Linked DNA regions of Canis lupus familiaris. The protein of the gene in region 1 purifies or fractionates together with the protein of each later gene. This does not show direct contact. Links are inferred from orthologs where the notes say so. Each region holds a gene or a part of one and is shown on either strand. Other genes may lie near its edges.

Region 1 (3,742 bases):
AGGTCTGGCTTTCAAGGCAGGGGGCAAGGGGCCTCAGACACACACCTTTTTCGTTCGGGTGGCTAGCATGCTGCTCCATCTGGACACCAAGAAGGTGTGGTGCCTAGGGAAGAATCACAGCGTTACATGATCAACTCATGCTACCATTTTACCGCTGACAGTTTAACTTCTCCCCAGCACATCTGACGCTGCTCCAATTTAGGGAGGAAGATGTATGAAAGAAGGCACTGTTCTGCTTCATGGCCAAGTGCTCCCATGGTCCCTTCGCTGGTTTGGAAAACAGCGGTGTCCCTGACTGTTATATCCTCTCTTCTGGGCAAGTCGTCACTTAACTAAGCCCAAACCTTCAGAGTCTCCCAGTAACGGGGCTTCCCTCAATGTTTCCCTTCTGCAGCACCAGCCCTTCTCCTGTCCTCTGAGGTCACTGCAGCAGCCTGGCTCCCCATCACCTGTCATGGGCCGAGAGAAAGCGCAGGAGGGCGCGGGGTACCGGCGTGGAAAGACGGCCCGGCTGCGCGAGGAACCCCCGGGCTCGCCCCCAGCGTCTGCGGGAAGCACCTGCGAGAGGAGGGCGAGGGGCGCGCTGGGGCGCCCCGGGAAGGGCTCTGCCACTCAACCGCCCCGGGGACCAAGTTCCCGAAGTGGCCGCGCCGCGGTCCCTCCCGCAGCTAAGACTGGACAGAGACCATCGCCCCCAAAGGACCCGAGGCGCGGGCCAGCTCAGTAACTTCACCAGCGCTGTTACTCGAGAGCCTCCGATCCGGGTCCCACCCTTGTGGTTGATACACATGCGCGGTGGCGTCGCGGCCAACTGCCCCAGCCTCCGCGCTTGCGCCGACCTGCGCGCCGCACGCGGCCGGGAGCGGCCACCCTACTGCGCAAGCGCCCGGGCCCTCCCCTCGCCATCATCGTGCGCTCTCTATCTAGCTTGCTCTGCCGTTCTTGCGTAGAGGGCGGGACTAAGAAAGCCTATTGGCCGGTTTTCTTGCCGCTCAATGAGCTGGCTGCAGTGATTGGCAGCGACCCGGAGGGTAGCGGGTTTAGGTGTAAGCCCTGAGGAGGCAGCGTTTTCTGGGCTTCTCGCTGGTTCTCTCTCTCCAGAAGGTTCTGCCGGTTGCCCCAGCTCTGGGTACCCGGTTCTGCATCGCGCCGCCATGATGGGCCATCGTCCGGTGCTCGTGCTCAGTGAGTTGGGGGAAGGCGGGGCAGGAGGGGCCTCTTTTCGCCCTTTACCTCCGCGCTTTGGCGTGTTGCCCCAGCCCGGTCCCGCCCTGGTCCTGCCGCGCAGCCTTCCCGTCGTCGTTGGTTTCGGAATCCCCTTTCCTTCTCCTCTTTCTGCCCCGAGCCGGTTCCCTTAGGGCCTGGGCCGGGCCGGGCCGCTGGTCTGCGGGCACCCGGGCTCCCTCCGCCGCCACTGCACCCCTGCTCGCGTGGTTCTCGGTGCGGGCGCGGAGAACGGGATGTGGTCAGGCCTGGCCTCCCAGCTCCGGCCCTTGACCCCGCCACATCGCCTGGCTCGAGCGTTCCGTTTTTATCGGGGGTCTCGACAGTATTTTCTTGTCGGATCGGGGGCTTAAGTGACTGAAGTAGGGACGCTGCCGACGAGGGCGGGGGGGGGGGGGGGCGTCCGCGCACAGCGAGCGATGCCCTGGTAATTTCTCAGTAACGCCCTCCCGGGGTCTCCTTTCGCGGGGTCCGGCTTCGATGTAATTGGCCCCGCGGTGTCCTCCGCGCTGTGATCCTACCTACTGAGTTTTCCTGAATTTCTCTCTAAGGAGGATTCGCTCCATTGTCTTCTCCTGGGATATTCCCGTTCCTCGTGTAACTTCTGTACCTCGTCTGCAAACTCTTGTTCCTCCCTTACCGTTTTATGTATACAAAATGCAATAAAGCGGTTTTATGCCTTTTCCCTGTACCTGGGAATCACTGTTTTCACGGGAAAAAAACTTTTTTTTTTTTTTTTTTTTTTACTGAACCGGGAAAAAGCCCGTTTTTTGTTTTTGTTTTTGTTTTTGTCTTTTGTTTTTTCTGAGGAGCCCATCAGAATAGTCTGTGCAGGATTTTAGTTACTGCTACTCGAAACATGAATCTAAATTCTGAGGGTTGTGAGCGTGTAGATTTGATGGGACTGGTTGAAAATTTTACTGATTTAAATTGTAGGGAATGTGTAATTTGGAAGGAGGGAAATCGGCGGTTTGGTTGTAGCCACTGGCTTGTCTCCATTGGGAGGGCCCCAGGGGTGAGTGGTGGTTGTGTGTGAAGCCTTTTTTGGGTCTTCATTATTTTCTGGCACTAGTGACTATGACTGAGTAGGCTCCCTGTTAAAATCTGATGGTAGAGCGGTTACTGAGGCATCCTTACTTATATCCTAGCATGCAGTGATTATCTTGCAAACTGAGCCACTCTGAGAGGACAGTCTAATTCCACAGCACACTGTGGGGGCGCTATCAGTAATTGTGCTGGGATGGTTAGTATAATTCCTCCTGCCCAAATAGGAAAATAAGAACCCCCAAACTCCTTCCTTTTTTTACAGAAAGCAATGACTGATGCTTTTTTTTAGGTTACCAGCTCTTTGAGAATAGGATATAGATCCTCTTCCCAGTCAAGAATGCAGTACCTTCCCATTTTCTCATATAATCTCTAGGAGTTTACCATTCCACTAGCCCATTTATGGACCTCAGTATGAATCTTTGCTGTTAATTCGTGAATATTTGGTTAGTGGGAAAGAGATGACCAGGGTTTCATAGTTGAAGCGTTAGGGATTGTTTGTATGCCAGGGGTTGACATAAAAATGTAGCCATAAATACATGTTTTAGTGTTGTTGTTGTTTTTAAGTTTTCAAAGGTATTTTGATATGTAATAACCTACATGTATCTAGAGCATAGGATTCATTGAGGTTTGTTCTTTGTATATCTGTAAAACCTGTGTGTGCATGTGTGCGTGTGTTATTTCCAAAGGTCAGGGAGTAAATAGTTGCTACACAGTGGGTGAATCCTGGTCTATCACATTTTACTTTATCTGTTTTAGGCCAGAACACAAAGCGTGAATCTGGAAGAAAGGTTCAATCTGGAAACATCAATGCCGCCAAGGTAGCATATCATTCATTCATTTAAAGATTAGATTTAGGGCAGCCCTGGTGGCTCAGCGGATTTAGTGCCACCTCCAGCCTGGGGCGTGATCCCGGAGACCCGGGATCGAGTTCCACGTCGGGCTCCCTGCATGGAGCCTGCTTCTCCCTCTGCCTGTATCTCTGTCTCTGTGTGTGTGTGTGTGTGTGTGTGTGTCTCTATGAATGAATAAATAAAATGGTTTTTTTTTTTAAATAAAGATTAGATTTATTTATTTGAGAGAGAGAGAGCAGGAGCGGGAGAGAGGAGCACAGGGAGAGGGAGAAGCAGACTCCCTGCTAAACAGGGAACCCGATGTGAGGTTTGATCCCAGCACCCTGGGAGCTGAAAGCAGACACTTAACCAACTGAGCCACCCAGGTGCCCCAGTAGCATATCTTTTAAATAGTTTAACGTTGATGAGTTTGCTTTCAGCTGCCTTCCCTAGTATTTCTGTATTCATTTGCAATTAGGCAGAAGAAAAGTTTGACTTGCCTTTTTTGAGGGCATTTCTCTGATGGTGGTAGGATGCCCTCCCGCAATGAGTTAGGCTTAATAGTCTTTTCATATTGTGCATAATTCTATTAGCGTATATTTTATAACCTGTTCGTGTTTGTCTCACACCATGTGTGGAGT
Region 2 (3,742 bases), on another chromosome or scaffold:
AGGGCCTTGTGGGAAAAGAGAAGAGTTTGGATTTTATTTTGATGACAATAGGGAGCCATTGAACACTAGTACACACACACACACACACACACACACACACATCTCTGTCCTCAGGATCTCTTTCTCCCCTGCGCTCCCATCCTGGGTAGGTCGCATGTCTCTCAGGCACCCCAGATAAGTAGGTTCCCTCTTGTCTCCACCACTGCTCCCCAAAGTCTTTCTCTGTACACACAAATAGTTCCCCAATCGCCAAGCTGTGATTGTGCCTTGTCCGCAGAGCTCGGAGAGGGCCAGAATCGCTTCCCCTTCGGTCACCCTCGTATTCCTGGCACCTGGAAGGATACCTGGCCCCTGATAGATGCTCAATAAATTATCTGTTGGCTGGAAGGCGGTGCTGCTCAGCTCGGGAGGGCTTCGTCTACTTTGGCTCCCCCGCCTCCAACACAGGGGCAGGCATCACCGCGAGGCAGGGGTTTCTCTCTATTTTGTGTCCGCTGCGCCTCGGTGCCTAGAGCTGTGTCTGGTCCGCAGGAGGTGCTCCAGGCATGCTTGTTGACCGACTTAACAAACTTTGAGGTTTTTCCTACCAAGATGGGAGCAAGGAGGTGCGATGTCCCAGGTGAGTGTGGGGGATGCTCCCAGGCTGGCTGCGGTCTGTGCCCCCAGTGGAGCGCCTGCCCCCAGCGACCCCGGTCTGGTGGCAGGGATTCGGCTGCCCTTCTCAGGGCCTGCTCTGCCCTCTAGGAGCTCGCAGTCTGCTGCTGGTGGCAAGGGGAGTCCGAGTCCCAGCTGCGGGAGTTTGCTCGTGCAGGGCCAGGCTGGGGGCTGTTCAGGCCCCATCTCCTTAAAGGACAGCTCCAGGCTCTGCCGTTTTACAGATGCGAATACTGAGGCCGGAGGGGGCGAGCGGGGTCTGCCCTCCTCGGTGCAGGTTGCCGGCCTCCTCCAGAACCTGTCTCAGCCCTCTCCCTCGGGAGGGCCCCTTCACCCCAACCGCCCCCTCCCCAGCACGCTGCCCCCCACAGCACCCCCCCGCCCCCCGCCGAGGTGTGTCTGGCTTCCCTGCACGTCTCTCCTCCGGGGAGGGAGCGGGCGGCGTCGGCGGGGCACTGGGCGCGGGCCTCAGTTTCCCCACGGGGCCCGGCCGGGGGCGGGGCGGGGGCGGGGTCCCGGGGCGCGGGCCCGAGGCGCGGGGGGCGCGGCGGGCGGGCGGGTGGGCGGGCCGGGGGGCGGCGGCGCCACCTTAAGGCGGCTCTGCCCGCGGCTCCCGGCCGAGCCCCGCCGGAGGGAGGCGGCTCCGCGCGGGGCCCGCCGCCCGCGCCTCCGCCGACACCGGGCCGCGGCTCGCGCGACCTTCGCGCCCGCCCCGCGCCCGCGCCCCCGCCCCGCCCCCGCCCCGCGCGCTCGGGGGGGCGCGGGCGCTCCGGGTCCCGGCCCCGCGCCGCCGCGCCCCTCCTGCTGCCTCCGGGCGCCCCCGGCCCCGCCGCCGCCCCCCCGGGATCGTCGGGCTCCGGCGGCGCGGGGGCCTCCGCATCGCCAGGATGTACCCCCAGGGGAGGCACCCGGTGAGTGGGGGCCCGGGCCGCGCGGGGGCGGGGGGCGCGGGCGCCCGGAGCTCAGACCCCGCCGCGCCCCCGCCCGCAGACCCCGCTCCAGTCCGGCCAGCCCTTCAAGTTCTCGATCTTGGAGATCTGCGACCGCATCAAAGAGGAATTCCAGTTTCTTCAGGCTCAGTACCACAGGTGAGGGGGGCGGGGGCGCCGCGCCCCGGGGGAGCCGGGAGCTCACCTGGGAGCTCACCTGGGAGCTCACCTGGGAGCCCCCCGGGGGGGGGGGACGGGCCCGCTGGGGGCCCCCGGGCGCAGCCAGGCGGGGGCGGGGCCTCCAGGGTGCCGGGAGGAGGGAGCCCCCCCTGCAGGGCCGAGGGAGGGCTTCCAGGTGGAAGCGCAGGTGAGGTGGCCGGGGACGCTCAGCACTGGGGCGCTTGGAGCCTGAGAAGGGGCGGGAAGGGACTGGACGGAGGTGGGGCGGCGAGCAGGAAGTGGGGACAGGGGACGGAGCCAAAGCCATCACTTTGGAAACTGGCCCAGACCGGGTATCTCTGCGTCCTGTGCCGGGTGGGGCGCGGTGGGAGTAGAGGCAGGGCGCAGAGTGGGATCCCCATGCTCCTCTCCTTCCCAGCCTCAAGCTGGAGTGTGAGAAGCTGGCCAGTGAGAAGACAGAAATGCAACGACATTATGTCATGGTGAGGGGCTTCGGGTGCCAGGAGCTGCGGGCAGTGGGGAGGGGGCTCCGCTGTGACTGAAAGCGCTGGGGGTTTGACTCCCCGCTCACCCTGCCCCTCCGGGCCTCATTTTCCGTCTTGTAAAGGGGGCTGGTTGGGATTCCTGGCCATCCTACAAATAATGAGGCAAGGATGTCCCCTCTCCTGATGGGCATCTCTGAGGGGCCGGGGTCTCTGGGCACCTCCTCCTGCCACCCTCCCTGCTTGCTCCTCTGGTCTTCCCCTCTGGGCTTGGGGGGAGGCTCTGTGCCCTGCTGTGATTCCCCCAGCCTGGGGGCTCCCCGGAAGCCCCAGCATCACCCAGCTCAAGGCTGGGCACCAACTGGCACAGTAGACATTCCCAACTGGCTCTTCCTTTGCAGTATTATGAGATGTCCTACGGGCTCAACATCGAAATGCATAAACAGGTAACTGTTGGGGCTCGGGGTGTTCAGGAGGAAGGGTGAGGGTCTGGAAGCTGTGAGAGAGACCCAGCGCTCAGGCAGTCCGGGTCTTATCCTGAAATCTCTGGGACCAGGGGGCCAGATTTCAGCCTCACAGAAGGAAAACAGTTCTGAACTTCTGGAGACAGGGTCCAGCAGAGAGGCGAGAAGTGGGCAGGAGCCAGGTGTCCCTGTCAAGGAGGGCTTGTGGCAGAGGCTGCAGCCAGGTCGGGCAGGCAGTGGAGGTGACTTCTGGCCCAGGGAGGTCCCTTTCAGGCCAGAGAGTCTCATGTTTGGAGGATGGATCCTGATGATCTGAGCTGGACCCCAAGCTGCTGTTGATGCTTTAAAGGATGTAAGATTGGCCCTAGTGCCCTGAGGGTCCGAGACTCTCATCAGCTTCTGAGTGTGATGCAAGGTTCTCAGACCAGAAGGGTCTCAAATTGACTCCAGTTGTTCAAGATTAACCCCGAGACGGGGTGCCCAGGTGGCTCAGTCGGTTAAGCATCCGACTCTTGATCTCAGCTCAGGTCTTGATCTCAGAGGCGTGAGTGCAAGCCCCATCTGTGTTGGGTTCCACGCTGGGTACCAAGCCTACTTAAAAAAAGAAAAAAAAATTAACCCCAAGGACCTGACACTGACCTCAAGGTTCTCTGATAGATGAGGGACCCCAAAAGATTGTGAGGTTGATGGGGTCTTAGGTTCTGTCCCTGAGACTATCAGAACAGGGTAGGGGTGGGGGGGGTGGAGCCTAAAACAACACTCCTTCCGGGTGGGTGGGAAGAGGAGGGGGAGTGGGCTAAGAGTGTGGGCTGCCTCAGGGTGCCCGCCCTGGTGTGCTTTTCTGGGTATGCGTGGGCTCTGCTGGCTCTGGTGTGGGCCGCGGCGGGCGGGGGCTGACCTGGCTGGAGTAGGGCGTGGTCCTGGGGGTTCATGAAATAGACCATCTTAGGGGGTGGGAGGGGGCAGGCAGGTGCTAGGGCCCGGCCCCCACCCTCCCAGTGGGAACTCAAGCCCTGCCCAGATGCACGAGGCA

Evidence for each region.
Region 2: the proteins of CCT3 (region 1) and TLE2 purify together in Homo sapiens (affinity purification with mass spectrometry; 3 studies listed by BioGRID and IntAct, with this or other methods). This does not show direct contact. The link is inferred for Canis lupus familiaris from reciprocal best matches to the Homo sapiens genes CCT3 and TLE2.

Annotation. Positions count from the first base shown.
Region 1 is NC_049228.1:41,548,663-41,552,404, forward strand, and holds the start of CCT3 (T-complex protein 1 subunit gamma), read left to right. Parts: upstream 1-1,023; 5' UTR 1,024-1,154; coding exon 1,155-1,185; intron 1,186-1,233; exon of another isoform or gene 1,234-1,294; intron 1,295-3,027; coding exon 3,028-3,089; intron 3,090-3,742. Other genes in the region: TSACC (TSSK6-activating co-chaperone protein), read right to left, coding at 46-103, 772-909. UniProt on the Homo sapiens protein: Component of the chaperonin-containing T-complex (TRiC), a molecular chaperone complex that assists the folding of actin, tubulin and other proteins upon ATP hydrolysis.
Region 2 is NC_049241.1:56,607,514-56,611,255, forward strand, and holds the start of TLE2 (transducin-like enhancer protein 2), read left to right. Parts: upstream 1-1,452; 5' UTR 1,453-1,541; coding exon 1,542-1,565; intron 1,566-1,644; coding exon 1,645-1,742; intron 1,743-2,181; coding exon 2,182-2,245; intron 2,246-2,646; coding exon 2,647-2,691; intron 2,692-3,742.